Danio rerio: one gene and its partner. The protein of the gene in region 1 purifies or fractionates together with the protein of each later gene. This does not show direct contact. Links are inferred from orthologs where the notes say so. Each region holds a gene or a part of one and is shown on either strand. Other genes may lie near its edges.

Region 1 (15,801 bases):
CGTAATCCTAACTCATAAATGTGATATGATCATTTAAATAATGTGTGCACGTTCGGTTTCACTTTCACTGCCAAGTGCAGCTCATGTCATGTCATCCGTCACTTTGAGGAAAAATCATACATGGAAATCTTACTTCCCACGCGGCTCCAAAACAATTGCTCTGTGCAACAATCTGAACATTATTAAAAACTTTATTATTACCTGTTATTCACAGCCTGCATATTCTGTTCACTAAAGTAGACTACACTGGCGGGCACACACGTGCCTCTCGGTAGGAAATAAACAGTGCGTCAGCTCATGAGTGATTTTGTGGCCACGAATACATCATTACATTAAGACAGAAAAGACTTTTTTTGATGAAATAAACCTTATAAATACAGTGTGTGACACATTTAACACAATTTGTCCATGTTACTGAGCAATGAATATAAAATGTGAAGACATGTGTGACCTCCTTAACGCTTCTCTCCTGACCTTAAAAACAATTGGCTGAATTGTAGAAAAGCTGAGTTAATATTGTGTGTAGGGTCGAATCGAGATCGCCATCTTCTTTTGATTAATCGTGCAGCTCTACATTTTACTGAAACAAATTATGGAGTGGTTGAACGCTAATAAATCAATGATGCTACTGGTAACTACAACAATTAAAATGCTTAATTGATAATTGAAACAAAATTCAATAAAAAAACCTGGTATCACTTTATTTTGATGGTCCCTACTGCGCATCTTGTTGACTAATATTTACATTGCAACTACATGCCAACTAATTCTCATTAGATTACAAGTAGAGTGATAGGTCAGGGTTACAGTTAGTGTAAGTTAACGTACTTTCAAAGTTTCTTATAGTCAGTTTAATGTTGAAGGAGCAGTATCAACAGATATCAAGAAGACAGTCTACTAATGGTCTAATGAGAATGAATTAGCATGTAGTTGCAATGCAACTTTTAGTCAACAAAATGTTCAACAGGGACCATCAAAATAAAGTATTACCAAAAACCCTATAACAAAAAAGTGGAAATTACACCACAACCTCTAAGTGAGGGGGAAATATTTTAATAGAATAACTTCTAAATAAAAACTAAACCTTCACTGATATACAGGTATCCTAAATAAATAAATAAATACATAAATAAAGGGCTTTTTGGACAGAATGTAGAGACAAAATCTTCCCAACAGAAGGAAGCAGAAACACACTGTATGTTCACTTTAACCTTGGAATAAAGTTCAGGATATGAGCTGATGTGTGTAAAATGTAGATAACTAGTGCTGCCATTACATCAGAGACAACGGTTATCAAGAACTGAATTCAGATCACAATGATTTTATCCTTTGGATCTCAATACAGACGAACAATGACGTCCAAAGGAAATGCATAATCACATTACATCAGAACTGACTCAAGGCAAAAACATCAATGAGATCAACTTCAGTCCACGTGCAGGAAATAAACATTAGTCACTTACTATTTGAATTCTTTGATGAGGTTTTTGTGAATCTTTAGGCAGAAGTCCTCGACAGCGGTCCTTCCGTCTGGAAGAACGACAGGTGCTGTGTAATCAGGAAGCTGTCCCTTCGGCTTTGTGTAGCTGTGAAAAATCAGTCAGTGTTATTATACATCCTGCTGAGGCTTTATGACACACAGTGCAAACTTTAAAGTCTCCCAGAGAGCACTAGACAGCAGAACACTGTGATGCATTACAGTACATTACATTACCTTCCTGCAAGCGTCTCTTAGGCTTTTTCACTCAAAATAAAGTTTCAGTAAACTGTTTCTTCAGCAAGTCACTGATTTCCCTTACAGCGATTTAATTAAGTTGCCTAAAAATATATATGTATTTATTTAGCTCAACCAAAAATGAACATTTACACAATACTCATTCTCCCTCATGTAGCTACAAACCTTTGAGTTTCTTTCTTCTGTTGAACAGAAAAGATTATATTTTGAAGATAGCTACAAACTTGTATTGATAGATGTGTAGTATTTGGTTTTTCCCTTATGTGGAAGTCAATGGTATAGAGGTTTTAGCCGTCTTTAGAATATCAATGTTACGTCACAGCTATTTTAAAACACTTGGAAATTCCAATAGTTTTCTGCAGGAGCGTTAATCTCTGTGAGCCTATAAATCATTCAGGTATAATGAAATAGTATAGTACATTACTGAGAGTTTACAGTCTGTGCTGATCTTGGATCATTACACATTTGCAGATGATTTAAAGCGGAGCTATTAAGCCTCTTTTTACTAGATGCAAAATAAGTCTCTGACGTCCCTAGAGTGTGTTTGAAGTTTTAGCTCAAAATACCTAACGAATCGTATTTTATAACTCCTTGAAACTGAAACTTTCAGGCTTTCACCAGAATTGTGCAGTTTTGGTGGCTCTCTCTTTAAACTCAAATGACATTGAGCTGCAAACACCTATGCTTTAGCATAGAAGCAGATTCAAAGAATGAATGTTCTCTCTATCAATGACTGAAGGCTAAGGAGGAGGCAGTCTATGGAGCCTACAGTGTTCATTTGTGCATCCCAAAACTCAGCATTTAAAATGTCTCTTAGTCGCTCACATTATCTTTAGCAAGTATGGTGAAAACACTAATGGTGGACAGCTGCTTCTCACTCAGGGCTGTTTATGTCACTAAGGACAGATTGACACCATGGGGTGGGGCTTTCCTCCCTGATGACATGCTCAAAGTTTTTATCAAGTGTGATAATAAAAAAGGTAATTATTATTATTTTTTTTTATTTGAAGCTGGCTATATTCACACACTGTTGCCACATAACTGTGCCCAAACTCCTTATGGAAGTGATTTTTGCACAATAGGTCCACTTTAATGAGAGGTTTTTGAGATGCATTTAGAGGACTGACCAACAGGTGGCGCCAGGATGTTGCGTTTCAAAAAACACTGAACACTTTGAAACACTGAATCATTTCACCAAGCAATTGTTTCGGTTGATTTAAAGCTTTGATTCTTCCATTTTTACTTTTATCATCTCAGTTTTCACAATTAGATGTTTTTTGCAGTTTACACTATGATGTCATATGGATGTGAATTATGTGTTCAGTTTTTAGGTATACGCAAATATGTACTACAGGACTGTAGTGTTTCTTAACAAGAGAAGTCACCAATCTCGGTCCTGGAGGGCCGGTGTCCCTGCAGGGTTTAGCTCCAACTTGCTTCAACACACTTGCCTGGGTGATTCAAGTATACCTAGTAACACCTTAATTAGCTTGTTTAGGTGTGTTGGATTAGGGTTGGAGCTAAAAATCTGCAGGACACATACCTTCAGGAATAAGTTTGGTGACCACTGCTTTACGAAGTGAAAAATCATCAAACTCCGCTGTCATGTAAAAAATTGCTCCCAGAATGCAGTGAAGGTAACTCACATGCGCACTAGTTGCAGGTAATCCCAGATCTTTTCCAACAGGTCATCAAAGTTCCAGCGGTGGTGAGCGGAGATGGGCACGCAGTGAGGGATTTTGTAGATAACGTCCAGCTCCTCGATGGAGATTTGGTCGATTTTGTTGAGGACATAGATGCAGGGAATGTAAACCCTAGAGGAGGAAAACCAGCATGTGAAAATCTCTTCTGAAGTGAGAACGCTTGAGGATTGAGGTTGAGAATTTGCTCCTACCGGTTTCCCTCCACCACGTCAATAAGGTCATCGGCTGTAGCGTCGCTGCGTAGGGTAATATCTGCATTGTGGATCTTATACTCGGAAAGGATGCTTTTGACAGTGTCACCGTCCAGCTCACTTTGGGCACACTAAAACAGAAAGACACAATGACAATTGCAAACACAACTTATCTGATGAATGACAGACATTAAAAGATGGAAGCACATGTGATTCTGGCCTACTGGAACAGAATTGTAGCCAAAATAAACAATATTTTTGGACTGGACATAGATATAAAACCCTTTGTCCCTTCTTCTGAGTTTTCCTTGCAAACTAATCAGGAACAAGTATGAACAACGACTCCTCTGCCTGTTAACTTTTGCTGTCAGGAAGAACATTTTGATGTCATAGATCAATGATAAGCTCCCTTCCTTAAGAGGATGGCATTCAATAACTCAAGAGATTATTCCCCTGGAATACTTAACATGTCTAAGCCACTCCACAACTGATATATTTATTCGCACTTGGACACCATATCTGGACAGTATAAACCTTGCTTTATGTGACATTTTGAAACTCGGAATGACAATGTCCGTATAGACATTCATTCTTGTTTTCTGTTTTCATCAAACTTTTCACTCTTCCTGCCATATTGTAATGTTTATAACATAATAGCTTATGGCTTTGGCCATATGTATATTTTAGTATATGCAGTTGTGTTTTGTGTCAGGCATTTTATGTTGTGTTTGTATTTTTGTTTTGTGTATGTCAAAAAAGAAAAAACAAATAAAAACATTTAAAAAAAAAAGAAAAGAAAAGATGGAAGCGAACATGCTGAGGCAAGCAAAAAGGCATTAACAATATGGCTAAAACTAATGAAATGATTAAAAAAATTATAAAAAAAATATGCCAATTCTGTTCATGTTATGAGAAACTGATTAGTGTCAAAAAAATGTGTATTCTCTTTTACGATATACATATAAGTCAAATTGCTTTTCAAATGATAAATGTAAAATTAAACTTTGGTAAAAAAATAGATAAAATCATTGTATCAAAAGGACATTTATAAATAATGTAATATAAATGATAATAAACCCTTTAATATTTCACAATATTAATTAATAAAGTACTGATATAGCCATAATTTACTTACAACTAAATTAAGAACAGTGTATTAGATTATGTAATTTGGAAATTAGTACTGGACAAATATTATAACTGCAATGATAGACATATTGATTTTTAAAAAATGGAGAAAAAAAGCTAATAAAAATGCATTTTGTAATATTATTTCATTACATATAATTATATTAACTTTACATCAACAAACATTTGAAACTTTTTAATACCCAAGTGTGTAAATGTATGCAATAAAGAGCTAATAGTACACTGAAGTCATACAGTGGCAGTGAAGTTGATTCCGCCCTTGTCTTTCTTCTTGAAGCCAATATTTGGTGGTTGCTTGTTGAGCCGAATACCAAAACCTTCCAACTCGTGTTCAATAAGCTTCTTGTGTCCGAGGGGCTTCAGTACATCCAAGACAATCAGAATCAGGTTACAAGTGCGAGCAACTGTTGGAATGAAGAAAAGTTTAGGGAAATGCCAATTAAAAAAACAGAACTGCACTACAAGTGTCTTGTTATTATCTGTGTTAACAGTCTATTACCAGCAATGACTTGTCGTCCTCTTCCTTTGCCGTCTTTTGCCCCCTCAATGATACCTGGGAGATCCAGAAGCTAACAAAGAAAATAAGAAACACACCATTAAAACGATAGACCTTACATTCAGAATGCATCATTTATGTCAGTCATTCAGCAAGGTTGTACACCTACTTTACAAAATGATGAATCACTAAATCATGTTATACCTTTCAACACTGTCCAAACGCAACTTAATCAGGTATGTAATGGACTACTGCAAAATGGTTCACCTGGATTTTCGCTCCTTTGTAACGGATCACTCCTGGTACAGTTGTCAGTGTTGTGAATTCATAGGCAGCCACTTCAGAATACACACCAGCCAAGTTACTCAGAAGAGTGGATTTGCCTACTGATGGGAAGCCCACAAAACCTATTCGGGCATCACCGGTTTTAGCCACATCAAAACCTGAGGGGGGAAAAACCAGGTTGGTGAAAAAATGAAAGCCATAATTGACTCTGGAGCTCCTGTTAGACAATAGAAGCATGAAACTTCAAGACAAGATATGAACCCCTTTTTATAGACTTAAACCATGTTTAATCCAAAGTTTAAAAAGAATACACAGTGCACTAATTCATCCCATTTATTTAATTTGATCATTTTTAAACTGACAATTTATCAATAAAAATGAAAGTTGCTGCAACACTTAAGCAATTGCATGTCAAGTTTTCTTGCTTGTAGGCATGCCATCTCCAGAACGCAAGTTATTTTTTATTCCTGGTTTGTATTTCAAAACACAATGTTGTGAGTTCTTGGACGCAAGTTTACCAAATGATTTTGATTACAGCTTGAAAATAAAGAAATCAAAAAAGCAAACATGAGTACTTTAATCATTTACAACACAATACTATTATTACAATACTTCTAATTTTGCATAATTATTTCATTTGTAAAAATAATCACAAAATAAATGTGAAAATTATTATAGACCTTTTGAGTTTGTCCAATTGTCAAAATAGATGAAAATATGAAGGCCTGTCACAATAATCAATATATCGACTTGCAAAACTTTGAGATGACCTCAATAATTTTACCTGCTAAAATATACATTTACAATTCATAAATAACCTTAAAGCCATCTTACATTGACATTTACATTCTACCTTACCAGTGTCGAAGTTTATCATGGAACATTTATCTATAATATAATAGCATATATGTAGCCGCTATGTCCCTAGAACCAATCAGAAGGCATGAATCGAATCATATGTTTTCAATTTAACGACACGCTGATACACCGGCTTTTATGAGGAGACTTTATTCCACTTTTACTTGAGATTTTAAAAGATGGAGTTTGATGAACTGGATGAGCTTGTTCGACTGTCAGTGAATGGCAAATAAAAACATCCCTTACCTTTAAACTGTGTGCATTATAAGAAAAAGAAAACACACTGTACATTTGGAACTGTGGATATATTCATAACGTTTTTTTTTTTTTTTTGCGTGCAGTGACGCTATAAATAGGTCCTATTTACTACACATTAAACAGCAACTCCATTTCATGAAAGACGAAGTAAGGATGTCGTTCTTTTATCCCACATGGATGCTATGAGGATAAACAAGACACGAAAAAGAGACAGAGACCTTGATTATGGTGAGAATGAATGAATGAATGACAGCTTCTAAAACTGTCTGACAGACATCCCCTTTTTGCCCAGTAGGCCTACCTTGTGTTTTATTTGTTAATGTTAGCTATTTTTTAAAAATAATAAATATAATGTATAAAACTATACATAATATTTATATCTTGATATTACTTATATATCTGATAAGCGTTTTATATTCATGGACAATGCAAAGATAATGATGTTTCACAATGTTTTACACTACGTTTAGTTTGCAATGTTTACTGTGCTCTACTTACAATAACATCAGAAATGACAACAGATTGTTAAGCTTTAATAAATTTCAATTTTAATGTTAATGATTAATGCACTTACTTGACAGATTTCATTCATTCATTTTCTTTCTGTTTAGTCCCTGGTTAATCAGGGGTCGCCACAGTGAAATGAACCGCCACTTACTTGACATGTTTATGTATTTATAATTTTCGGTGTTTTGTGCAATGCGCTATATGTTAGGGTAAATTATTCTTTAGTGATTCTAATTACACTTTCTTGGTGGATTTAGGGGTTTTTGCAAAAAAAAAATAAATAAATAAAAGCACAAGTGGATTTAGCTGGTTTTGACGCAAAAGAAAAACTACCTTGTTAAAAAAAATATGTCTAAAGTGACATTTTTGAAAAAATGTTATTTTATTTACTAGCTAATAACCTTTTTTATTATCTATAAAATTAAACTTCTGAACCTAATTATAGAAGCCTGATAGAAAATGCTCATTTACAAAAAAAGAGGTCTTGTGGATTTAGACAAGAGGGTTTTGCATATGAACTCTTCATATAAACAGTCGCATAAAACGATTTTAAAACTACAACATTGCTTATCGCAACAATTTCTGTGACAATATATCACACAACAAAACTCCTTATTGTGACAGGCCTAGGCAGTTTATGAAAAGCTAGTAAAACACTAGAAAAACTGCTCCCTTGCATAACTAACCAAAAGTTACCATGATTTAAGCAAATGGATTATCATCACAGCAAATACGACTTACTAAACAGTAACCATGCTTGATTTGTTTTATTTGTAGTAAACCCATGGTTAATCTTGAATACCTTGAGGACAATAGTGCCACCTCACTGCACCCAGATTTAAACACTTCATTGAAAGTCTACTGTTTAACAGATGAAACCACCATCTCTTAAACTAACGATTAAGGGGTGTAAGAAAAAGTTGGATAAAAGTTTAGCAATACCAAACTTCCCCTTTTGAAGAGCCTGTGAATGTAAATAGCTGTCTGATGTGATGAGAGGCAGGTGTAGGTGATGATAGTGCAGTACCAACCCTCTCCAGTGCCTCCTCCACTGCCTCCTTTAGGGGTGATGAGTTCTCTCCTCAGTTTGGCTAATCTGGCCTTCAGGAGCCCCAGATGATGAGCGGTGGCCTTATTCTTCTGAGTCCGAGCCATCTGCAGCACACAGCCCGTTCAGAAAACCGCACATTCACGATGACAATATCAACATAACAACAGATTTCCACAGAGTTCAACATTGTATAGGATTTAAATGGTCTGTGTATTAAATGTCCAGTTTATTTCTGAAATAAGGTACAGCAGGACAGACTGTTGAATGGGTTTGGCGCTAAAATGCTAACAGCCGTTTTTCATAAAGTAATTCACTGTAAATGTCAACCCACCTCGTTCTCGATTTCGGCTATTTTGGCCAGTAAACTCATTTTGGCGTTGGTCCTTTCAAAGTTGTATCTTGAGAAAATTAAAAATCAGTGTTTTCGGAATTACGCAGCTATTTAGCTCAAAAGCACACGGTTGTCATGCTTTGCCGGGAGTTCACGGCCACGCTTCGTGTTCCCGCGATACTTCGGCTCTTCACGTGGCTGTGACATGATGAGGAGGGCTCCGTCTTCTGGTAAGGAGCAAATAATTCCAAGATACTTGAGGAAAAGAAATGCGCCAATAAAGATGGATAGATAAAGGCTGTTTTGATTAAACACAAACACATTTGTGGCAGGGAAAGTACTGTGAACCAAACTAAGACTGTATGAATTCAACATGATTCAACAATTAATTTTTAACAGGAGCCTAATTCACATTTCGGAAGATGTGGTAGATATTTTTGTACAAGAAACACATGTTAATAAAGAAACATAGGCTTCTGAAAATGACTGTTCTGAAAGAAAAAAAACAAAGACATTTATGACAGGGAAGTTATGTGAACCGTAAACCCAGACTATAAATTCAACATGATGAGGAAAATTAAGCTGTTGTTCAACCATTAATAATAAACAATAAATAAACACTCACCCTCAGGTTATCCGTGTTGGTGATTCCCTCAGCAGAACATTGAAAAATGTATTTTTAGATATTCATAAAAAAGTACAATACATAAAAGATTTATCTGTACAAAACTGATTTAGCTTATCTTTTCTTTAATCCAGTCTCAGCCAACATTCCTAAGACTGAATAATGCCAGTGTGTTAGACCTCATGTGAGCTGATGCTGTTTGTTTACAATGAAGATGAGCGCAGTTTCAGCTAATAATGAGGAAAAAGGTCATCTGCATCTTAAATGGCTGGATGGGCAAATTCACAAGTTAAAAATAGTACAGTAATTTCTAATGTCTTCCAACCATACTTTAATACTTGAATTAATCTGTTGTGATAATAGTATAGTTGCTGTGGTAATACAGATATAATATGAACAAATTACCCAATACTGTACTGTTTTCTAGAAATATATATTTACAAAAATACACTACAGTTTGCTGTAGTATAACAACTAAAGTGGGCGTCACAGTGGTGCAGTGGTCAGTACGATCACCTCACAGCAAGAAGGTCGCTGGATCAAGCCTCGGCTGGGTCAGTTGGCGTTTCTGTGTGGAGTTTTCATGTTCTCCTTGTGTTTGCGTGGGTTTCCTCCGGGTAGTCTTGTTTCCCCCACAGTCCAAAAGACATGTGCTATAGGTTAATTGGGCAAGCTAAATTGTCTGCAGTGTATGTGTGTGTGAATGAGTGTGTATGGATGTTTCCCAGTGATGGGTTGCAGCTAAAAGGGCATCTGCTGCGTAAAACATATGCTGGATAAGTTAGTGGTTCATTCTGCTGTGATGACTAATGAATAAATTTATAACACAGTTCATGATATTCATTCACTATAAATAACAATAGTATTTTTTCTTGTGGGTTATCCTGTTAGGTTCTATCTTTTTTTGTGTGTGTAATTGTAACAGTTTTTGTTAAATCAAACCATCCAAATTGCATGATGAACCTACATTTTTACATGTACTTTTAGTTTAATAATCTTTTATATTTAATATTCCGTTTTTACATGGTACTAAATTACTTGTATGCAGCATGTCTATTTATTTTTTGTATAAAATATTATTTGCAAAATTGAGACAGTCATTAAGATTTACTTATGAGCAAATATGAGAAAAAGTGTTTGCCCCTAATAATTTATCACATTTTAATGTTTCAGATCATGAAACAAGTTTAAATACATGTCAAAGTTAACATAAGTAAAGACATCATACAGTTTGAAAATGTTTATTATTATAATTTTTAAGTGAAAACAAAACTGCTTAGCCCTGTGTGAAAGTGTTTTTGCAGTCTGTATATATGTTAGTCACAAAATTGCTCATGACTAGTTGTGCTTGTTTTTTTAAGTAATGTTATATAAATATATATATATATATATATATATATATATATATATATATATATATATATATATATATATATATATATATATATATATTGTATAATTTATAATAAGTCTCCACTTCACTTCCTAATCTGCAATTGCCTCTCTGGATATACCACTAACTGTACTCAAAAAAAAAAAAAAAAAAAAATTACTAATACTTTACTTCTTAGACTTTACAGACCTGAAACTTGCCTATAGCACTTATTCATTGTTGCTCTTATAGTTGTGTAAATTGCTTCCTTGTCCTCATTTGTAAGTCGCTTTGGATAAAAGTGTCTGCTAAATGACTAAATGTAAATGTACCAAGCACCAACCATAATGTTTAGTATAGCATTAACACTCTTACTATACTCAATTAAAGTTTGGATGTGTGCCTTTCATTTTGAAAGCTTCTATGTCGATCTCACTATTTCTGTACATTTATTGCACAGTCCCTCATTGACCGAGATCATATGGTATGCTGTGTGCATGCAAGAAGAACAGGGAAAGCATAACTCACTATGACAATGTTGTTTCCAATTTACCACTGGTGTTGGATGAACTGTCATGAATCTAGATACATTTAGAGCACAGAAGTCCTTTTTTAGAAGACACTTGGCGCCTTTTTTGACAAAAAAAATAATAAACATTTTTTCAGAACAATTAACCCCTTTTGAATTATAGCATAACTGTTTCTGGACCATTTATAAGAAATAATAATAAAACATAAAAATCAATCAGTCAATCAATGATTAAAAATATATTAGTTAAAACAAGCAGAACTCATGAAGTGCAATTGTATGTAAGTAATATACTTAGACATTAAATATCCATCATTTCAAAAATGGTAATCATAAACAAAAAATAAATAACTGTAAAAAACACATAGCTAACATAACATAAATTAGACATCAAAATTAATGCTCACATACACACACAGTTATTTTTCTGTTAAATAGTTTTGTTTTATTTGTTATATTCATTTTGCATACAGTATTTTATCACTCATAGTTTCTATGTTGGTGAAATTGCTGGATCCACCATCATTTCGTTAGGTTCTTGTAACCCCATAATGACATTGCACTCTGGGATGTTGTTGTTGCTGGGCCAAGTTATGAAATGCACCAATATATCCAACATGAACCCATCGTATATCTTTAGAATCTAAAGTGCACAGATCTATCAATAACATGCTATCAGTAAATGATAGTAAAGTAAGGTGAACTGGTCATCTTCTCTCCTACAATAAATAGTCCTGCAGTTATCAGTTCTTTGCATCAGACAGACATTTGCGTACTGAATGGCACGAGACCGACTGATCAGAAAATAAGCATGAAACTCCTTTATTTTGAATTGTGCTGTGAATTCGTTTGACCTTTAACACCAGTTAGAAAAACAGAGGCTGAATTCGACGGATATGCCAGAAGGCCATCCTAGAGAAATCCATTACAGTGCAAAGGTACAGTTCAGCTTACTGGGAGATCTTAAAATGTCTTCACACTAAGCAGGTTTGGCTTGAATAAAATTAACTCCGGGCATATTGCTCTGCTAGTAGGGATAAGTATTGCTATCAGTTCTAGTGATTTGATTTTTTAATTAGATTAACATGATTTCAATTCAATTAGATTTAACCATATTTCATTTGAAATAGTGTATATAGAGTCACCGATTATTGTGGGGTCTGCTGTTGTGTTTTTTTTTCTTTTTTTCTTTTTGTAGACACAGTATTAGCTCTTGCAGGCACAACCTGCAAAAATCTGTGGTTTCTGTTGACCTCGTCTATATTATTACATTTAATTCTAATGTTTTTAAAATACTTTTCAAATTTCAGTAGGTGCTCCTTTAATGGGGTATATGCACACAAATTCTTCATTTCAGTCAGCCAGCCCCAGGGCTTCCGGTTAATTTTCATCCCATACAAAATCGCTGCGGTTAGGATCTGATTTCTTTAAAAAACAGCGATTTTCACTGCCTGGCTGAGATATGATATAAAACCGGTATCAGACCAAACAAGAAGCACTGCATCAAGTTTTATTTTTCTGTGCCATGTCTTTAAAATATGGAAATTAATTTTACCCTAGTATTATCAATGGAGTTTCTGCTAGCCTGCTGCTAATGATGGTGCCTGTGTGTAAACTGTCTTTTTATACTTTAACAACCAAATGGATGCTTAAGTCTATTTAACTGATTATATTTGAATTACATTACAACATTGATGCTGTAAAAGGAATCCATAAAACTGAAAATACTCACAAATTTTTTAATGAAAGTTCATCATTGGCTAAAAATACTAGCTGTACATATAGCCTATTAGCTACCATGACCTTCTGTCATGATTCTTTTTGTTTCACTTTAACCTTTTAACTTCCACTTCTTTGGTTTAATTGTGACACCACTCATTGCTAATTTTTCTATTATTATTTTTTTATTAAAGAGTTAAAGGCATAGTTCATCCAAAAATGAAAATGATCTCATTATATTCATCTGCTTTTCAATCTATTTGATTTAGTTTTTTTGTTAAACACAAAAGAAGATATTTTGAAGAATGCTGGTTGCTGGGACCAATCAACATCCATAGTTGGAAAAAAGATTGCAATGGAAGTCGATGGGTCCCAACAACCAGCATTTTCAAAATAACTTCTTTTGTATTAACCAGCCCCTATTATGGGTTGTTGAAAATGACCTTCCATGCAGTGTGCAACAACGCTCTAAGTAAAAGAAAACATTCAGCTGAGGTTTAAATCCGAAAGAGCACCTTGTTTAAAACTAACAATTTTTTAATAAAAGATTCGACTGATTCGTTTAAATTATTTTGTCTGTTTGTATTGATGTCGACAAGAAACAATACCAAATATGAAGTGCCAGATCGGGTAAACTGTAAATGCGCCTTTTCCTTCAGACAATAGCAGTGCAGGTGTGTGTGGGACTGATCAGGACTGAAGATAAGTGAACATTCTAGTGATTAATGCAGAAATCTACCCTGCAACGGGGGATTTGTCGGGCGTCTGTTAAAGGAAAGATCAGAAAAGACTTTTGATGTATGGGAGTCTTTTAGAGCTTACCGGGATCTTTACAGTACACGAATCAGTTCCTTCCTTCATTTCAAAAGTGTAAGTAAGTGCGATTAAAATGGTTGCCTACTTGTTTCCTCGAGCTTGCAAAATATGCATTTAATTGTGTTAGTGTTACTTGTACGCTGCTTGTACTGTATCTGGTCAACTCTTTATATTCTCATATCATGTCTAAAGCCATGCTAAAAATGCAAGGCGTGTCGCTGTCTTCACGGATTCAAATGTGTTTGTGAGCTCGCGATCCTCTGCTGTTTGTCGTTGCTATGGCCACCGTCAGCTGTTCCTACACGTGTGGCCGTCAAGTTTCGAAATAGTTCAGCTTTTGCCACTGTGTGGATTAATACTAAATGTTGTTGTTGTTTTTACTTATGGTTAGGAACATAGTAATAGGCTGGTGTTTAACTGCATTGCTTTGATGAACTCTTGCATTGGGCTCACAAATACACTCTGCACTACTTCAACAATGTTGATAAGCCGTGGTGGGCGTTTCTCTCTGTCTCGCGCTGAACACACTCGACCAATCACAATACACTGGGTCATCAGAACGCTGCCATTTGAACCTTTGAGCACACCAAGCAAGTATACAAGTTAAAAATGACAGTGTGATTGCTAAGTGAACTAAAAGAACCACAAACTACAAGTGTGAACAAATCTTTAAGATCTCCCAGAAGACTATCCATTTCCTTACTTTCTGTCCATGTTTAAAGCTTTGGTTCTGTTCCACTTACAAACTCAAACACATTTTTTACCACACATCCTTCGAGAAAGACATACGCATTTGGAGGTGTGCTTGTCCTCGTTATTATACAAAAATAGGCATTTCCAAACATATACAAGATAGTTGCTGCTCTTAAACAGATCTACGTCTGTGAATAGCATTCAGTAGATCTGGTCTCATTTAAGCACAGAGCACAGTGAACCGAGAAGGTTTCCTCTCAGCTGCTCCATAGAGATGCGTCAATTGCCATCGGAACTAATGGAGAGTTTGAAACGTTGGTGCAATAACCGCAGCGATCTAACAACTACATTGTAAGCACAGTCATTTCAGTAGAGGTCTCATTGCTGCCCTTGCCGTAGCCTACACAATCATTATCGTTGTACATTCTGGCCATTATCCTATGACTAAAGGTGTCTTTTTTATTTGAATGAGCAACATAAATTCATATTATAGTCAGTAAGCATTGAAGTGCATTGATAAAAAGTGCAAGTATAGATTCAGATGCATTCATTTCGAGAGGAGTAAATTGTTTTGCAACATGGCCCCCGGAATAGTCACTTTTAGAGGGCTTACAACAGAAGAACACTACAGCTGATGCCGTTTCTAACCTAAAAGATATATGCTTTCCTTTGAGAGTGTAAATCTAGGGGTTTCGCTATTTGGACAGGAAGGGGACGCATTCCTCATCTGCCCCTGTCTTGGGTTCAGACATGCTATTAGTTCCTCGATAAAGAGTTATTAATGCCTGTTGATTCAAGAAACAGGTCAGATCTCATTCACATATACAGAGACAGACAATTCTGTAGGAAGCACTAGTCTGGCACTGTTTGGCGCCATTTGAGGTCGTCACATTGCTTTCCTGAATTAAGTCCCGCAGGAAGGACTTGCTCACCTGATAGCCCCATCTTTCCATCATTAGTTACTGAGAAAAGTCTCTCTGTGATCCTGTCAACAGAGAAACAGCATCATTTATTGAGGTAAAAAAAAAACAAATCGACAAGATATGTGTGGAAGATATCCATTTCAAATGCATTATCCACAGTAACCTCTGATGGTGCCATCAGAACTTGGATAATACTTTATTGAAACCATAAGGCTTTACAGTAAAATGCAACTTGGCCATATGATGGCGAAAGTCTTCTCCGGAAATGCCGGCTGGGCGGTCAGCTCTAGCTGCTCTCGGATGAAGTGGGAGGCGCGGTGGAAGACGATCTGCGCCGGGAGACAGACTGCGAGCGCTCGTGGCTGTGTTTGTCGTATGGCTGGAGTTGCACCTCCAGGAAGTCCCGGTGTTGCTGGCTGATCACCTGACTGATGAGGCCCGGGAGTGCCTGTAAGTTGCTGAGCAAGGTCTCAAGTTTGGTCTCCAGCAGTGCAATCCTCTTTTCCATGTCCTCGCCTCGCTCGTTCAGGTCCGAGACCAGGTCGTACATGACGTTTTGA
Region 2 (15,974 bases), on another chromosome or scaffold:
AAAATTTATTTCTGAAGATCAAGAATTATGTAGCGTGTGATGAATTTCATTTTTAAAATGGACGCTACGAGGGGGTACGCGTTCCTTTTTTATGCTAGCAGCTGACCCCTTACCTCTTTATAGATGGCTTCCCCACTGTTACCAGCTTGTCCAGTAGCTCGCTATGTACATCGACGGACTTGACACGCAGAGAGGAGTTGACTGCAACGACGGGGGTTTGAGTCTGGCAATGAACGGTTACAGAAAGCAGGTAAGACAAAAGCCAAAAATTAAAATAATCAAGTAAATAACAGGGTCAGAATATAGTAAAATCTGACAATGTGGTAAAAATCAGGGGACTTTTCTTTTTCTGGATTGCTTTTATAAACACTGTCGGTTGGGTTTAGGGAAGTTGGTGGGTGGTTCAGTCTGAACTTTTAAAAACACTATTGGTTGGGTTTAGGGATGGGGGTGGGTGGTGGTATCAGTCGGTTGGTCAGTCAGTCGACAGCGACCTCTGGTGGATTTACCTAAGAACAGCAGGCGCAAATGACACACGCGAGAGAAATTTGAGACCTCACAGCATACACAGCAGCCTCTGGTGGATTCACAAAAACAAAAACACGTAGCTCCTAGGACGTATTTGTCGCTCTTTAGAAATGTATATAGGAGTAGATTTTCAGAATGACCCTGGATTGGATATAACTAAGCCAGTTGAAAATGGTGGGTGAAATATGTCAGGACTGAGGCTGTATATTTGTGTTTTCTGATAATTCAGATGGAATGCAAACATATGAGTTATGTGACTTAAAATGCACAAATAAATAATATGATATGAAATTACAAAGTGTGACAACTTGTAGTGGTAAAGGTTGAGGCTGAGAAAACAACGCAGCAAGGTGGCAGCTAAATAGCTCTAAAATGAACTATTCTGTATCTCTTGTAAGCATTTCAATTATTGTGCTGGTGTTTTATACCACATATATTCACCAAATCAACTAAATTAGTTCCACGAAATGAAGTTTCAATAACTGTTATTGTTCTGTGGTGCAAAGAGCACCAATAGTTATAGGAACTATCAGAAGGTTCGTTGAGTATGACAGACACTTCTTACTTCCATTATATTTTTAACCATTAAATTCAATCAAATGAAACAGTAACTTTTGGGTTACTAACATTCTTTAAAATGTCTTGTTTTGTATTGTTTACACATGTTTGGAATGACAAGATGGTGAGTAAATAATGCCAAACTATAATTCTTTTAACTATCCCTTTAAATCAAGTAGAAATCTGATGACAAGGTTTAAGACCTTTAGTAATAACACGATAATAAAACATCCAAGTCTCAGAAATCTATGAATCAAAGAGTCACTAGCTTCTCTTCGTCATATTGTTTTGAGATTAGCCTCCTCTCCTCCTTCCACATAATAGTAACGGAACCTGAAAATGTGTATCAGGAAAGCAGTCATCTCCTTCCATGAGTTCTCTCCTACACCCACTGTTTCCCCCTATTACACAGAAGCCTTCAGGAAGTGCGTCATAACTAAGGAAGTACTTCCAGGAAATGGAGCCAAAGCACAAAAAAAGAAGGGAGGATACAAATATTCTGAATGGCCATCTTATTTTGTTGCTTACTTCTTTTATCAAAAGGTGCAAACAAAGATAAAAGTCTCACTAAGTCCAAAGATCCTTGAATATAATCACATCTGAAACCAAAGCAAAGTAGTGGTGTGACATCAAGGTAGGTTAAAACCAGTGAGATCTCAGTTGTGCAGTTGTGACTGTAAACCTGTGGTGGTGCTCTCATTTCAACTCACAGTAATGTGATTAATGTAGTAGCAGCTATTCACCATCAGGTGGCACTGTTAGTTAGGGCACTTTCCAGTGTTTTTGACCCAGCCCTTGCCCAGTACTCAGCGCTGCTAGCAAAGGAAGAGATGAAGTGGACTATTTGGCCCATAAAAAGTACATGGGCTGAGTTCAGTGACTGGAAATCACAGAGGAGATAGGGCAGGGAGCGGAGGTGAGTCAACCTCATCTGCCACAGCAGGACTCATGCTTTTAGCACCAAAGCACTCATCAACACACTTTGTCAATTTAAAAAAAATTAAAGTTGTTCCTGTTTACCAACTATAATTCTTGTAACAAATTCCATGAGTTTCTTGGATCAATGACAAGAAATTGCATTCAACCGTAATGCCTCAAAAATGTCACTGTACAGTTCTACGCTGCTCAACCTCAAGCCTGGGTTTTGTGTGTTTGTTCTCCAAGTTAAACAGCCAACCCTTATGAACACAACTTTTAGAAGCTCAAATGAAGTTATTCTACCAGACTTTATGTTGTTGGGGTGCTTTGGCGAAACGTAGAGGCATAAAGAAGAGCTGGATGGTTGTGTACTCTAGGCAAAACTGTCTCTGACAGAGTTAGCTTTAATGTGTGCTCTAAAACCTCTTCAGCTCCAGAGCAGCACCGCTCTTGTTTACCAGGAAGAGACTGACGTGGGATGTTACATAAGATTGAGTCTGCCTTTCACAAAAAGTAGTAAGGGGCAATCTTTACAACCTGCTTGTTGTATGTTAAGTAGGCTACACCAGCCTAGGAAGCAGTATCACCTTCTGTGTTGGGTGTGTGTTGTGCTAAATAGGCTGAATGTCTCTGAAGGGTGTGGCAAAGCAGGCATGTGAGTGTGTGTGTGTGTGTGTGTGTGTGTGTATCTATGTGTGTGTGCGTGCGTGCATGCGTGTGTGTGTGTTCACATGTGTTGTGCACTCACTGCCGGAAATTTAATCCAAAATTTCTTACTACTGATATAAAATTCTTATTTTACAGCCAAGTTGAAAAGGTATGTTGTGTATACTGTAAACTCACACTTTTTGGTCACATCAATAACCCATGATTATTTTTTTCCTATTTAAAATATAAAAATGTTTACAGAGTGATATTTTAATGATCCCTTAACTTTCTGATCAGTTGTTTTACAAAATATGTTTTAATGTTTCAATATAATGTTAATATATGCTTTCTTTGTGAATTTATGTTTTGAGTTTTTATAATAAATGTCACATCCATGACGTTGGAATTGCTCCCATACTTTAGTATAAGTCACAAACTTCTGGTTGGTCTTTCATTACTATAATTTTTAGCTTTTTTTTCAAGTATGAAAACATTTTTGCACCTAATGTCCAGTCACCTTATAACAGATAACTGTGATTGACTGTTTGTATAAGTATTCTTTGTTTATATGGACTGTTCCACAAAAATGTTACCACAAAGGAAGGACAATTCTGAAGACTAAAAAAGGTACCTTTTTAGCCTGGAAAAATTTAAAATGCAGGGGCCTTAAAGGGCCTAGGGCTCAGAGGAACCAGATGTTCAGAGGCATAATATCTCAAAATGAACCAAAGTATAAACCACAATGTGGCATTCACTTCTATTAAATGTATTCATTTATGATCAGTTTAACTCCATCTGCATATCTTTTAGCTTGAAACATTTTATGATTTCTCTATATTCATTCATTTTCTTTTCGACTTAGTCCCTTTATTTTTCTGGGGTGGACACAGAGGAATGATCCGCCAACTTATCCAGCATATGTTTTACACAGCCGCAACCCATCACTGGGAAACATCCATACACTCTCATTCACACTCATAAACAGATAATTTTAGCATACCCAATTCATCTGTACCACATGTCTTTGGATTTGTAGGGGAAACCGGAGCACCTGGAGGAAACCCACGCCAATACGGGGAGAACATTCAAACTCCACACAGAAATGCCAACTGACCCAGCCGAGGCTCGAACCAGCGACCTTCTATATATTCTTCTATATATATATTTAGGGGAATAATACTTAAATATTTAAACAATATAAAATCTGTACAAAATGTAGTTTAGTTTGTTAGACAACAAAAATAATGTTAGCCTATTGTATATTTAACCGATCCAATCTATGTTTACATAAGTTTACTAAGCTTGCTAGTACAACTTAAACATTTGGTTGTAAACTTTACTCCCTTAAAACATGATTAACAATGATCTGTTTTCATGACAAAAGTAAAATTGTAATATCAGGCTATAAACACTGCTCAGCATATAATAATATTTTCTTTAAAATTATTACTTTCTACAGGATGCTTTATAATAATATTTTTGTGTATATAGATTAGATTAGTCGGTACCAAAGACAAAATTGGATCTAACAAAAAAAATTTAAATCACAGTTCAAAAATTAGTACACCCAAAATAATATGTGGGAAAAAAATATTAAATACAATTTTAATAAACAGGAAAAATTAAGAGAAACATAATATAAAAATATATAAAATGTTTTATTATTTTGCAATATCTCCTTTGAAGTTAAATGTAACATCTTTCTATTCCTAAAGATCTTAATTGACCAAACTCTTCATTTAATGGATATGCCTGTTCAAAAAAATAGTTTTGTTTAAACGCACCAAAATAAATTGTTTACATTCACTGAGAAATGGTTGAAAAAATATTAATTCAAGGGGTGAATTCATTTATGTATATATCCAATGAGTGGATCTCTAATAATATTATACTACACTATACAGTGGATCTCTAACAAAACAGTTCAAAATCGTTCTAAAGTTCTAACAAGGGCAATACGGTGGCGCAGTAGGCTGTGATGTCGCCTCACAGCAAGAAGGTCGCCGGTTTGAGCCTCGGCTGGGTCAGTTGGCATTTCTGTGTGGAGTTTGCATGTTCTCGTGGGTTTCATCCGGGTGCTCAGGTTTGCCCCACAAGTCCAAAGTCATATGCTAAAATTGTCCATAGTGTATGTGCGTAAATGAGAGTGTATGGGTGTTTCCCAGTGATGGGTTGTAGCTGGAAGGGCATCCGCTGCGTAAAACATATGCTGGATAAGTTGGTGGTTCATTCCGCTGTGGCGATCTCAGATTAATAAAGGGACTAAGCCAAAAAGAAAATGAATGATTGAATGAAAGCTCTAACACTTAAAAAAAATTCTTAAAAAATTGGTCTTATAAATTAGTCCTGGAACAAATTTGTGTCAGAAAGTTGGTGCTGCAGTCATGAAGTGTAATAAAGTGTGTAATGACTTTTACCCAAGATCCCACAGGGATCACATAGTACATGCTGATGCACAATATATTGGTGATGCTATCATTATCTGCCAATAATTTTTTACTTAATATTATCTGTATTGACATGATATGTAATTAATTTATTGGCAGATTCATTATCTATTTTTTCTGATGGTTGTTCCAGTTTAGATGTGTGCTGCTCACCATAAGGGTCTTGATCAGTGCCTTGGACATGATATAATACAGCTAATGTGTGCTTTATAAGAATCTTTCTCAGAAAGAAGACATGATGTTGGCAGTGTTTGAGTTCATCACTGAAAAAAGACAGGATTGAGAATGATTTTGGGATAATAAAGACCTAGAAGTTTTCTTTAATGTCACCTTGTTTTCTATGGTTTAGAATCTAAAATAATATTCATTCTCCACCACATCTGTGTTTTGTTATCAGACACAGAAATACACACAAAGATTGATCTGCTTACACGAGTTATTGACTTTCAACAAAATAAAAGAGTTGCTGATATCAGATCAAATTTCCATATTGTAAAAGATGTTAAAAAATGTAGTTTGTGTCTGTATTGATCAGATGTAATGATCAGATGTGCTCCAACATTAGGCACATTCAAATCAAGACTGAAAACACATATGTTTATCTGTGCCTTTACTGAATGAGCAATATGCTATGTCCAACAGATCGCAATATTATGTATTATCAATTTTATTCTTTGTTTTTATTTTATTTTAATTGTCTCTTTTATTCTTGTTTTATTACTCAATGAAAAGCACTTTGAATTACCAATGTTTATGACATGTGTTCTATAAGTAAACTTGCCTTGCCTAGTATTCAAACATTGTTTATGTACTGTAACAGGGAGACCATATTGAACATAACACAATTGTTATTACAAGTCAGTACTTTTTATTTTAAGAAAAAGTAAAATAATTAATTTTTAAGCATTTTATGTGCCTACAAAGACAATAACACCAGCAGAAGCAGTGTGTGCATTTTAGCTAGCTTCGCAATTGTGCCAAATGCTACTGTGTAAACAGCCCTATTTCTTCAGTGTTTGAAACTACCCTGGTATAAATAAGCATGGAGAGTAATGTTACAATACTTAATTTTATCTATTAAGGAATATTTTTTTTATAATAATGTGAATGTTATTTTTCTATTCTAACATTTAGGTCAATGTTTAGAGTAAATGCTGCAAATCAAATTAAATGAGGTATAAATAAAATGTAGACTTTTAAAACAGAATTTGTAGTAAACTGATTCTTTCATTCATTTTCCTACGGCTGAGTTTCTATTTCAGAGGTTCCCACAGCAGAATTTACTGCCAAGTATTCCAGCAGATGTTTCACGCAGTGGATGCCTTTTCAGCTGCAATCCAGTACTGGGAAACAACCACACACACTCATTCACACACACACACACACTACGGACTATTTCGTCTATTCAACTCTCCTATACCTAAAGTTGTTTAGACTACTATATGTGTTTTGAGAGTGGGGGAAACCAGAGAACTCTGAGTAATCCCACGCCAACATGGGGAGAACATGCAAACTCCATACAGAAATGCCAACCGGCCTAGCCTGGACTTGAACCACTGACCTACTTGCTGTGAGGCGACAGTGCTAACCACTATTAAACCTTATTATTTATGCACAGAGACTAGGCTACATCCACACAAAGCCAGAGCTATCCTTTTTTTTTAAAATTCTGTAATTCTTTTACAGAGATATACAAAAATGAGAAAGGCACACAGTTAAACCTCGCATGCTACATACAAATCACAAAGAAGATGAACTTGGGCTGGGCAATTTGGCCTAAAATCAAAATCTCGATTAATTGAAGATTTTAACTCGACTGTAGTTAATAACTGATTATTTTATTTTTTGCCCCCACAGTTCACTGACAGGTTTTGTACAATAGACATGCACACATATTACAAGTAAGTGATTTCTGAATGAATTACTTGATTTTAAATTACTGAAGGAAAAAAAAAACTATTATCTATTATTATTTATTGAACATCGACTATGAGCAACTGTAATTAAAACACACATTGCCTAAAACCAACAGTCTAACAACAAGCTAAATTGACCGTAGTGTATGTGTGTGTGTGTGAATGTATGGATGTTTCCCAGTGATGGGTTGCATCTGGAAGGGCATCCGCTGCGTAAAACATATGCTTGGTGGTTCATTCTGCTGTGGCAACCCCAGATAAACAAAGGGACTATGCTGAAAAGAAAATGAATGTATGAATTTTCTAAATATAGAAATTAAGCAGTATTTAAAAAAAAATTAAATAACTCTTGTATATCCTGATAATAATGTTTTAAACAGTGCTTTTTTGAATCTTCTGTAAACAAATATTTTAATGTAAATTATAATTTTGTTGTAACAGACAATATGCCATCTCAAGGCATATCTGGCGCAGCTTCCAATCTTCATCAATTTAATGAAAACGTTCAATGTGTAGTTACATTTTTTGAGAGGCTTGCGGGTATACAACCCAACGAAGGCTGTGCCGTACCATACCCGTGCATTCGACGCAGAAGTACAAATCAGCCTTAATACTGTGTTCACACCAGATGCGGTGTGCATGGATAAATCATGCTATTCGTTTGTAAATAGACGTGTGAACATTTTGAGTTTACTCGCTTCATTCGCACATCAAATTCACTGAGCAATAAACATGGATTCACGTCATGGGCGGGGTATCTGTCTGTCCGGTAACTCTACATTCATTGCCAAATAGCTAACATGGATTTTATTTAGAGAATAGCTGTGTTACCGTGCTTTAGGAAGGCTGATAATCAGCGTCGATTCTTTTGAAGCCTTGTCTGAGTCCACTAGATCCATTCAGAGGTGCACCCAGCCCTGTGAGTTCATCTCCTCTAGAAACTGTACCTGGATCATGGAAGCTTTCAGCGGTGCTTCAGACTGAGCCAAGCCCAGTTTGATTAGATATTGACCGGTGTCGGCAAGAGGATTTTCCCCCGGGACACCAACAACAGGCACTACGTCATAATCATGCCCCTACATAACGCATTGCAAATGTCCACTGAAGTTTAGATTTTCCAACTCGAGCGATTCAATCGCAAAAAAACTTTCAACTGCTGCAGCTCCATTTGTGCGAATCGCATCATTCAATTCGCCTTATTAGTGCGTATCGCGACACAGGATGTCTATTCGCATCTTTCCATTGACTTAACGTGTAAATCACTCTTGCTTGATGCTTCATCCGCATCTGGTGTGAACCCAGCATAACAGTGCAGGGTCATGTGTCTCCACACAAAGTGGGAAAAGTCATTGAAAAAAATGACCTGTAAAAAATTTGACCGATTATAGATTCTGAATGTCGATTTTGATTACTTTTCAATTAATCGCCCAGCCCTAATGGCGAATATTTTTTTGTTAATTTATTACGCTTAATAGCTGCTGCAGCATGAATGTGTATATACAGTTGTCCACTAATGTTGTTGTCGCTGTTACTTGTAGTAGTGCTGTCTGACTAGGGTCGATGTGTGGGCTGACGACACCATTGTTTCACAAAATATACGGTTTGGCAGTTCACATGAAAATGCTATGGCCTCGTTTCATTCTCCCAAAAGATGTATTAATGCCTATTCAATTTAGTTTTTATTTATTTATTTGTTTTTTTGCGTCTCTGTGTGGATGGGGCATTAAATGTTTAATGTTAGTTAAACTGATGACGTAACAATTTACTGTGCGTTACAACACATCTCCGACCTCCAAAATACACAATGGTAAGTTTTAAGATCTGATGACATTCGCTGTAAAACAGCAACAACACAGAAAATCAGGCAATTTTTCATAGCGCTATCGTTAATGTGACTCTCTAAAGTAAAATTGTCCTCTCTCCCCCTCCCTTCTGGTGAGTCAAACTGTAACATTTCCTTCTCCATCTCAACTGCTTCGCTGTTTCTCTCTCTCGCTCGCGCGCTAGCTCTCTGTTTGGAGATTAAATGGGCATCCTGCCAGTTTTTCATATTTCCTGGCAGCAAAGGGGCCAGCCAACTTCCTGGAGGGGAGGGGCTTACTGAAAGGTTACATTTGCACAATGTGCCTATGGAAAAACACAGAACAGGAGAGAGGGGAGGGGCAGCAGGGGAACAGAGAGGGTGAGAGAAAGGGAGGGGGAGCTTGAGAGAGCGTTAGGCAGCTTGGGCTAAACTAAACGACTCCACCATTCTGCTGTGCTCGGGTAATGGAAAAAGCCCTCCAGGGGAATATTCAGCATGCAAGAGTATCGAGTTGCTCTCCATCATTACAATGCTGCCTAACACCCCCCTTCACCCCCTTTCGGTCCCTCCCCCGCAACAGCCCCCCACCCACCCCCTCTCCTCCATCCGAGCTTCATTTTTCCCTCCTTTTTCTCCTATCCATGCGTCTGTGAAATAGAAAGGCTTTCTGGGAGGCTAGCTGAGGGCCAGGGAGAGAGGTTGTTTGAGCCTAGCCTATTTGAAGTTGGTGTAAAGGTGTTCATGCACCGGTGTGTGTTGGTGAGCTGGTTGGTTGGAGCTGCAGTGTAGTTGCGCTGGTTCACATGCGAAGGAAACAAGCATCCTTGTCATTGTCTATTCATAGAATGTGATGACAGAGAGCATGAGCAATGGAGATAGAATAAAGAACAGTTACTGTTAAGTAATTTCGTTAATTAAAGCCTTAGTTAGAAGAATCCGGCTTGGAATGGCTGAGAAAATGTGTTGTTACACCAAGATAAATGCTTAGTATGATTGAATGTTTTCATCTGAATGAACAGCTGTTCTACGACTAGACTGTCACAAACATTTGTCAGGAATTTTTGTTGAGGATTTATTTTTGCTCTGTGTTGGGCTTTGTTGAGATTGGACAGTATAGTGAATTGACAGGAAATTAAGTGATAGTGAGAGCTGTACGGGATCAGGAAAGGTCCCCAAGCTGGGACTTGAACTTGAGTCAGCGAGGCAGTGGTTTCGAAGCATTGGATTAACAAAAAATACAAAATTACGTAAAGGGTGCTGCACACCAAATGACAAGCACAGCACCTTTAAAAACGGATTATATTGGTGGTGATACACAGTGGCTGGTACCTAACCCCAGAAGCATGTTTAAGAGGTTAACATGTGTTAACATGGTTATCTTTTGTTGAAATTAAAATGAAATAACGTTAATTGATGAATGTGATCTGGTTCAAGTCCTACACTGCAAAAAATGCTTTTCTTACTTAGATTTTTTGTCTTGTTTCTAGTCCAAATATCTAAAAACTCCTAAATCAAGAAGAATTTTCTGGACAAGCAAAACATATTGTCTTGTTTTGAGAAATAATATGTCCATATTAAGTGAGTTTTTCCTTAGAACAAGCAAAATAATCTGCCAATGGGGTAAGCAAAATAATCTTACGTCAAAAAAAGAAAAAAAAACAAGATTAATTTGCTTACCCCATTGGCAGATTATTTTGCTTGTTTTAAGAAAAAAACTCACTTAATATTGGCATATTATTTCTCAAAATAAGACAATATGTTTTGATTGTCTGGAAAATGCTTCTTGATATAAGAAATTTTAGATATTTAGACTAGAAACAAGACAAAAAATCTAAGCAAGAAAAGCATTTTTTGCAGTGTAGATGGGCCAGGTGGCATTTCTGAGTTGTGTGGGTTTCCTCCGGGTGCTCCAATTTCCCCCACAGTCCAAAGACATGCAATATAGGTGATTTGAATTGACTAAATTGGCCTTACTGTATGAGTGTGTGTATAAATAAGAGAGTGTATGGGTGTTTCCAGCACTGGAGCTTCCTGAGGTTGAGTACTCTCAGGGCATACTCACACTAGGTATAGTTGCCTTGAACTGTGCCAAAGCGCGATTGTCCCCCTTCCCCTCTCCCCGACGGCCTGTACTCACACTGCATTTTGCCTTCCAAACCTGAGCATGCTTACGTCATCAATGATGTGACTGTTCAGTTTAACAGGAAGAGAAGCAGTCTTGCTCAGGACAGCAGAGGTTGCTTTAGTTATATTGCTTTAATAATTGAGGATGCAGTGACACGCTGTCAAATATTTTGCCGATCAGATCAACCACTTTTGAAGCACATAAATGTTCACGAAAATCTTCGTGCTGCACATATTATGGCCCGTTTACATTGAGTAGTACAGTATGGTACTGTACGGGTTGGTATGGGTCACCTTTATCAGGCTCGCTAAATGCTATGCTATAAATGCTTTTCGATGCTAAAAGGGTACCAATGGTACTTTTTTGGTGGGCGTGGTGTAAGACAAAGTTTCATACATAAATACTTATGTATAAATGTTTATTACCAACCTTTCTATCTAGGTTCAAAAACAACACGCATCATAGACTACAGTCAGAGCAAACCTCTAATGTGTCTTTAATCTTCAGCAGCATGTGTAGCCTCTTGTTAGAAAGTAATTCCGTCTTTGCAAGTTCATAATAGTCCAAAAGGCGATGATCATAGTTAAACAGGGCAGTTTATCGATGTTTTAGGTTGTTGAAACAATCATTAGCTCCTTTGTTTTTTTCTGGCTTCTCCTTTGTTTTTTCGCAGGTCACTCTCGCGTTTGTTCATTTCTGACAGGATCGGCTGTCATAATCATTTCAATAATCACATGCATGTTATAATCATCAGCACAAGAAGTTTGTTATTTCAAATATCGACGCTCTTTGGAGAAAGTGAAACAGCTTGAGCTTTAGACAACCATGTAAAAAACTACGGGGCACATTGTTCATCAAGATAATGACAAGGTTTGTTTGAGCTCGGGTCGACCATGGCTCGTTATTATATGTATACATTATTATGGTGTAATGTCTCATCTGTGTATTTAAAACATGGCAGCTACTTTGTTTTCATTCTGGCTTATCCACAAGCGAGTGCCATATTTCTGTAAACCAATAGCGTTCAGTTGTGCATCTAGCTCCGCCTTTTGATACCCTTTTGCTTTGCTAGGAACCCTTTGCAAAGGGTACCCAAAAAGTGGAGTTTGCCTATAGAGTACAGTTTGCCTTTAGATACCTTTTGACAGTGGAAACAGCCATATCATACCGTACTGTACCGTACCACTAAGTAGCTGAAGGTGCAGCTGACAAACAGTGAAGGGTTTCCATCTATAATAAACTACGACAGTTCGCGTTTATTGAAAAGTAAGAATGATTATTAAATCCATATGAAACAATCGCTTAAAAGTAACGTTGCATCTACAGTTCTGGATCTGGCACATCTCTTCCAACTGGGCCAGGGCCGGCTAACTGAACTGCGCCTGAGCACGATTTGGGGCATTCACACTTGTCAAACAAACTGAAAAACACACCTGGATATGGTTTGGATGGCATAGTGTGAGTGCACCCTCAGTGCAAGCTCGCGGCTGGAAGAGCATCCGCCTCATAAAACTGTTGCCAGACTAGCTGGCGGTTCATTCCACTGTGACAGCTCCTGATAAATCAGGAACTAAGCTAAAGTGAGTGACTGAGTGATGAATGTGAATATAACGTGCACATGCATCGCACACATTGCACAAATATGCAGTTTCTAGCTGTGTTGACATGCTACTATCCTTCCATTACTTATTTGTTTAATTAAGAGATGAGCACATGTAGCTTTGTGCCATGTTAACTGTATATATATCAAGCAGTAAAACTGAACATTACTGTGACAAAAAGCAAACAAACTACAAGGCTAGCTGTCAAAAGAGGACTGATGGAACGTTGCTGTGCTCCACTACACAAATTGAATTGTTGTAGAATAAAGTGACAGTCACATTTGACTTGTGTCAGTCACACATGACATTTCATTCTCCAAAATCAACAGCTCGTATCACACGTCATACTTCATTATGATATTTCTGCATCCCTGATGGTGGATGTGATATGTTGATCCTGGAACATCATTTTTATTCCAAAAAATCTAATCCATACCTAATTGCTACCCCTAAACCAAACTCTAATTGTAAATTATTACCATAATCAGGGGGGTGTTAAATAACAACTATGTAGAAGTTTAAAACCCTAAATGTAAGCTTAAACTTTGCTTAAACTGTAAACTTATTACTTAAATCTGATTCGCTTATTGTAATACTGTTCCAGGATCAGCACAGATGTCCTACTTAAAATAAAATCACACTAACCTAATCACACTAACCTAGGTCCTGCACAAGTGCAATAGTATTCAAGTGTAGTTTTCAATCCAATGAAATGCTTTTAAGGCAACAAGATGGCGCAGTGGGTAGCGCTGTGGCCTTACAGCAAGTAGGTCGCTGGTTCAAGCCCCGGCTGAGTCAGTTGGCATTTCTTTGTGGAGTTTGCATGTTCTCCTCGTGTTCACGTGAGTTTCCTCCGGTTGCTCTGGTTTTCCCCCACAGTCAAAAGACATGATGAATTTAATGAGCTAAATTGGCCAGAGTGTATGTGAATGCAAGAGTGTATGGGTGTTTCCCAGTTCCGGTTTGCAGCTGGAGGTGCATCCGCTGTGTAACACATATGCTGGATAAGTTCATTCCGTTGTCCCCTGATTAATAAAGGGACTAAGCCGAAAACAAAATGAATGAATGAATGAAAGAAATGCTTCCGTGTCCTCTTAATCAAATACGAAAAGGTAAATCAGGCCTCCCTGGAAGAAGAGGCTGCTCAATGGGACTCTTATTGTCTACATTAAGAATAAATAAATCTATAAATCCCTTGAAGATGTTGAAATATATTTTCATTACATACCAAAACAAAACTTACGAACCAATGTTCATTTGCTGCTATTTTTTTACAGGAACCAGCCCCTTTTCTGTGTAGTCTTGTATTTGGCAGTAAACACTGAAATTACAAAATTCTTCAGAGCTGTTTGAGAACATTTCAATTTTGTTTGACTGACCAGAAGTCTTAAATAAAGCATTGCTCAGCTCTTTTTGTTTAGTGGCCATTTTCAGCTCTTTCATAAGCACCACCTACTGTCAGAAAAAGAATTTTCCTTCAGCCCACCTGCCATTTTTCTTCCGACAGGTCTGAATAGATACACAATATCCTGTCATTACTTTCTCCCTCACTCTATTGAAGTTCTCCCTTTTATGATGTTGCTGCCGAAAAGAAAGGAGGATATTTTGAAAAATGTTTTTGCCGATACAATGCAAGTCAGTGCTATCCAATTTTGTTGTAATCCTTTTGTTGTGGTATGAAAATTTCTTCTTGTATGTTCTATAGATAACTTTTGGATGCACAGAGATTGCAACACTGTTTATTTTTTTCAGTGATGGTCTATAGTTCAAAAAGATACGTGAATACAATCCACAATCTGTGATTGGCTATATATTTAGGTTCAACAGTTTAACCTTGTCTATGTAGATGTTCCTCAGCCCACAGATAGAAACTGAATCTGACATAAAGACTTTTTTACGGTATAAAAGGAATAAGTGAGATAATGATTTTAGACTCAACTTGGACAAGAAACTTGATATGCAAATTGCATTAAAAGTTTCTGATATGTCTTTCTTGGACAGAGGAAGATTTATTTATGGATATGCGCTGATCTTCCTGTGTTCATCTTTTACGTAATCGTCATCTGTGACAAAATAGCCTTCCTCTAATGATGATAGTCATGATATTTCTAAAGCCAGGCGTACTGCACACTGCTAAGAATGGACCGCACCACACCCTTTCCACTCCTACTCACTCAGTATTTCAAGAGTAGGAACACTGCTAAATTCTGGCAGGACTGGCAAACCTTCAAAGAATTGGCACAACCAAAAATAAACCGTACGTACTCATGGGGGGGCTGGCAGTGTCGGTGCAAACATTTTGAGCTTAATACTGAATGGATAGTCTTCTTGAACAATACTTCATTCTGCCTTTCTGGCCAGGCTTTGAAATGCCTATGAAGAGAGTGAAGGCGAGAGTTCCATATGAAGCAGAGGAAAAGCTAAATTATTGTCCCCCCAAATCCTTTTCATGTCTGTTTGAGCTCCAGCACTGCAGCCACCCACTGAGAGGTTAGTACAGTTTAGCACAGCATGGCACGTCCACAAGACTCTGCACACTCGCTCTTTCCCTATGTATACTTCATTTTCTCTGTTTCCTACACGCACACAAACACAAACATTGTTTTTTTATAGATGCTTGAAGTCAGAACTAGCAATATTCATACTGTGAATGAATGCATTTTTTATGAATTAGCTAAATTGTTTTGAAAAACAAAGAAAGAAAACAACAGTTATCCACAAATTTAAATGCTTAGAGTGGATTCTCACCTTGTTTACAACTAACAGGACAATTTATATAAAGGAAATCAATAAGACCATTGAAAGAAGTAGCTTTCATTATTACATGAACCCTTATGTGTCCTATAAAGGACATTTTTATCTTTTACATTTTACCTGAAATATTTTGGCTGTTAAGGTCAACAGTGTGTTTTTACTGTAACTTTAATACTTTACCTTCATATGCTTTTGTATGTTTGTTTTTGCACTACTGTAGGTACAAAACATTTAGTACTTTAAGGACAAAATGCTCCATTCAAATCCATAAAAATGGCTACAATAATAATGGCTACAATCTAGTATCAGGTGAGCATAAAATATAATCTGTTAATAGGGTTTCATACTGTATACAAAGTCACAATTTTAAGTGTTTTTCATTTTGTAATTTCGAGAATTAAATTTTTTTTGGTGAACTATTCTTTTATACCAGGGGTGTCAAAATCAATTCCTGGATTCCTGGATCCTCAATCCTCTGCAGAGTTTAGTTCCAGCCCTGCTGCAACACAAGGTATCAAACAAGTCTAAAACACTCAATTAGTTTGATAATGCATGTTTAATTAGGGTCGGAACTAAACTGTGCAGAGCTGCGGCCCTCCAGGAACTCAGTTTGACACCTGTGCTTTATACCAATGAACAAAAATTGTAATAATATACACTGCCAGTCAAAAGGCT

What was found.
Region 2: the proteins of drg1 (region 1) and ntmt1 purify together in Homo sapiens (affinity purification with mass spectrometry; 3 studies listed by BioGRID and IntAct, counting the BioPlex papers as one, with this or other methods). This does not show direct contact. The link is inferred for Danio rerio from reciprocal best matches to the Homo sapiens genes DRG1 and NTMT1.

Annotation. Positions count from the first base shown.
Region 1 is NC_133185.1:22,530,115-22,545,915, reverse strand, and holds the start of drg1 (developmentally-regulated GTP-binding protein 1), read right to left. Parts: upstream 8,720-15,801; 5' UTR 8,604-8,719; coding exon 8,565-8,603; intron 8,338-8,564; coding exon 8,214-8,337; intron 5,718-8,213; coding exon 5,542-5,717; intron 5,348-5,541; coding exon 5,278-5,347; intron 5,183-5,277; coding exon 5,013-5,182; intron 3,761-5,012; coding exon 3,630-3,760; intron 3,550-3,629; coding exon 3,382-3,549; intron 1,587-3,381; coding exon 1,464-1,586; intron 1-1,463. Other genes in the region: kcnn2 (small conductance calcium-activated potassium channel protein 2), read right to left, coding at 15,528-15,801. UniProt on the Homo sapiens protein: Catalyzes the conversion of GTP to GDP through hydrolysis of the gamma-phosphate bond in GTP. Appears to have an intrinsic GTPase activity that is stimulated by ZC3H15/DFRP1 binding likely by increasing the affinity for the potassium ions.
Region 2 is NC_133180.1:33,157,146-33,173,119, forward strand, and holds the start of ntmt1 (N-terminal Xaa-Pro-Lys N-methyltransferase 1), read right to left. Parts: upstream 7,976-15,974; 5' UTR 7,847-7,975; intron 1-7,846. UniProt on the Homo sapiens protein: Distributive alpha-N-methyltransferase that methylates the N-terminus of target proteins containing the N-terminal motif [Ala/Gly/Pro/Ser]-Pro-Lys when the initiator Met is cleaved.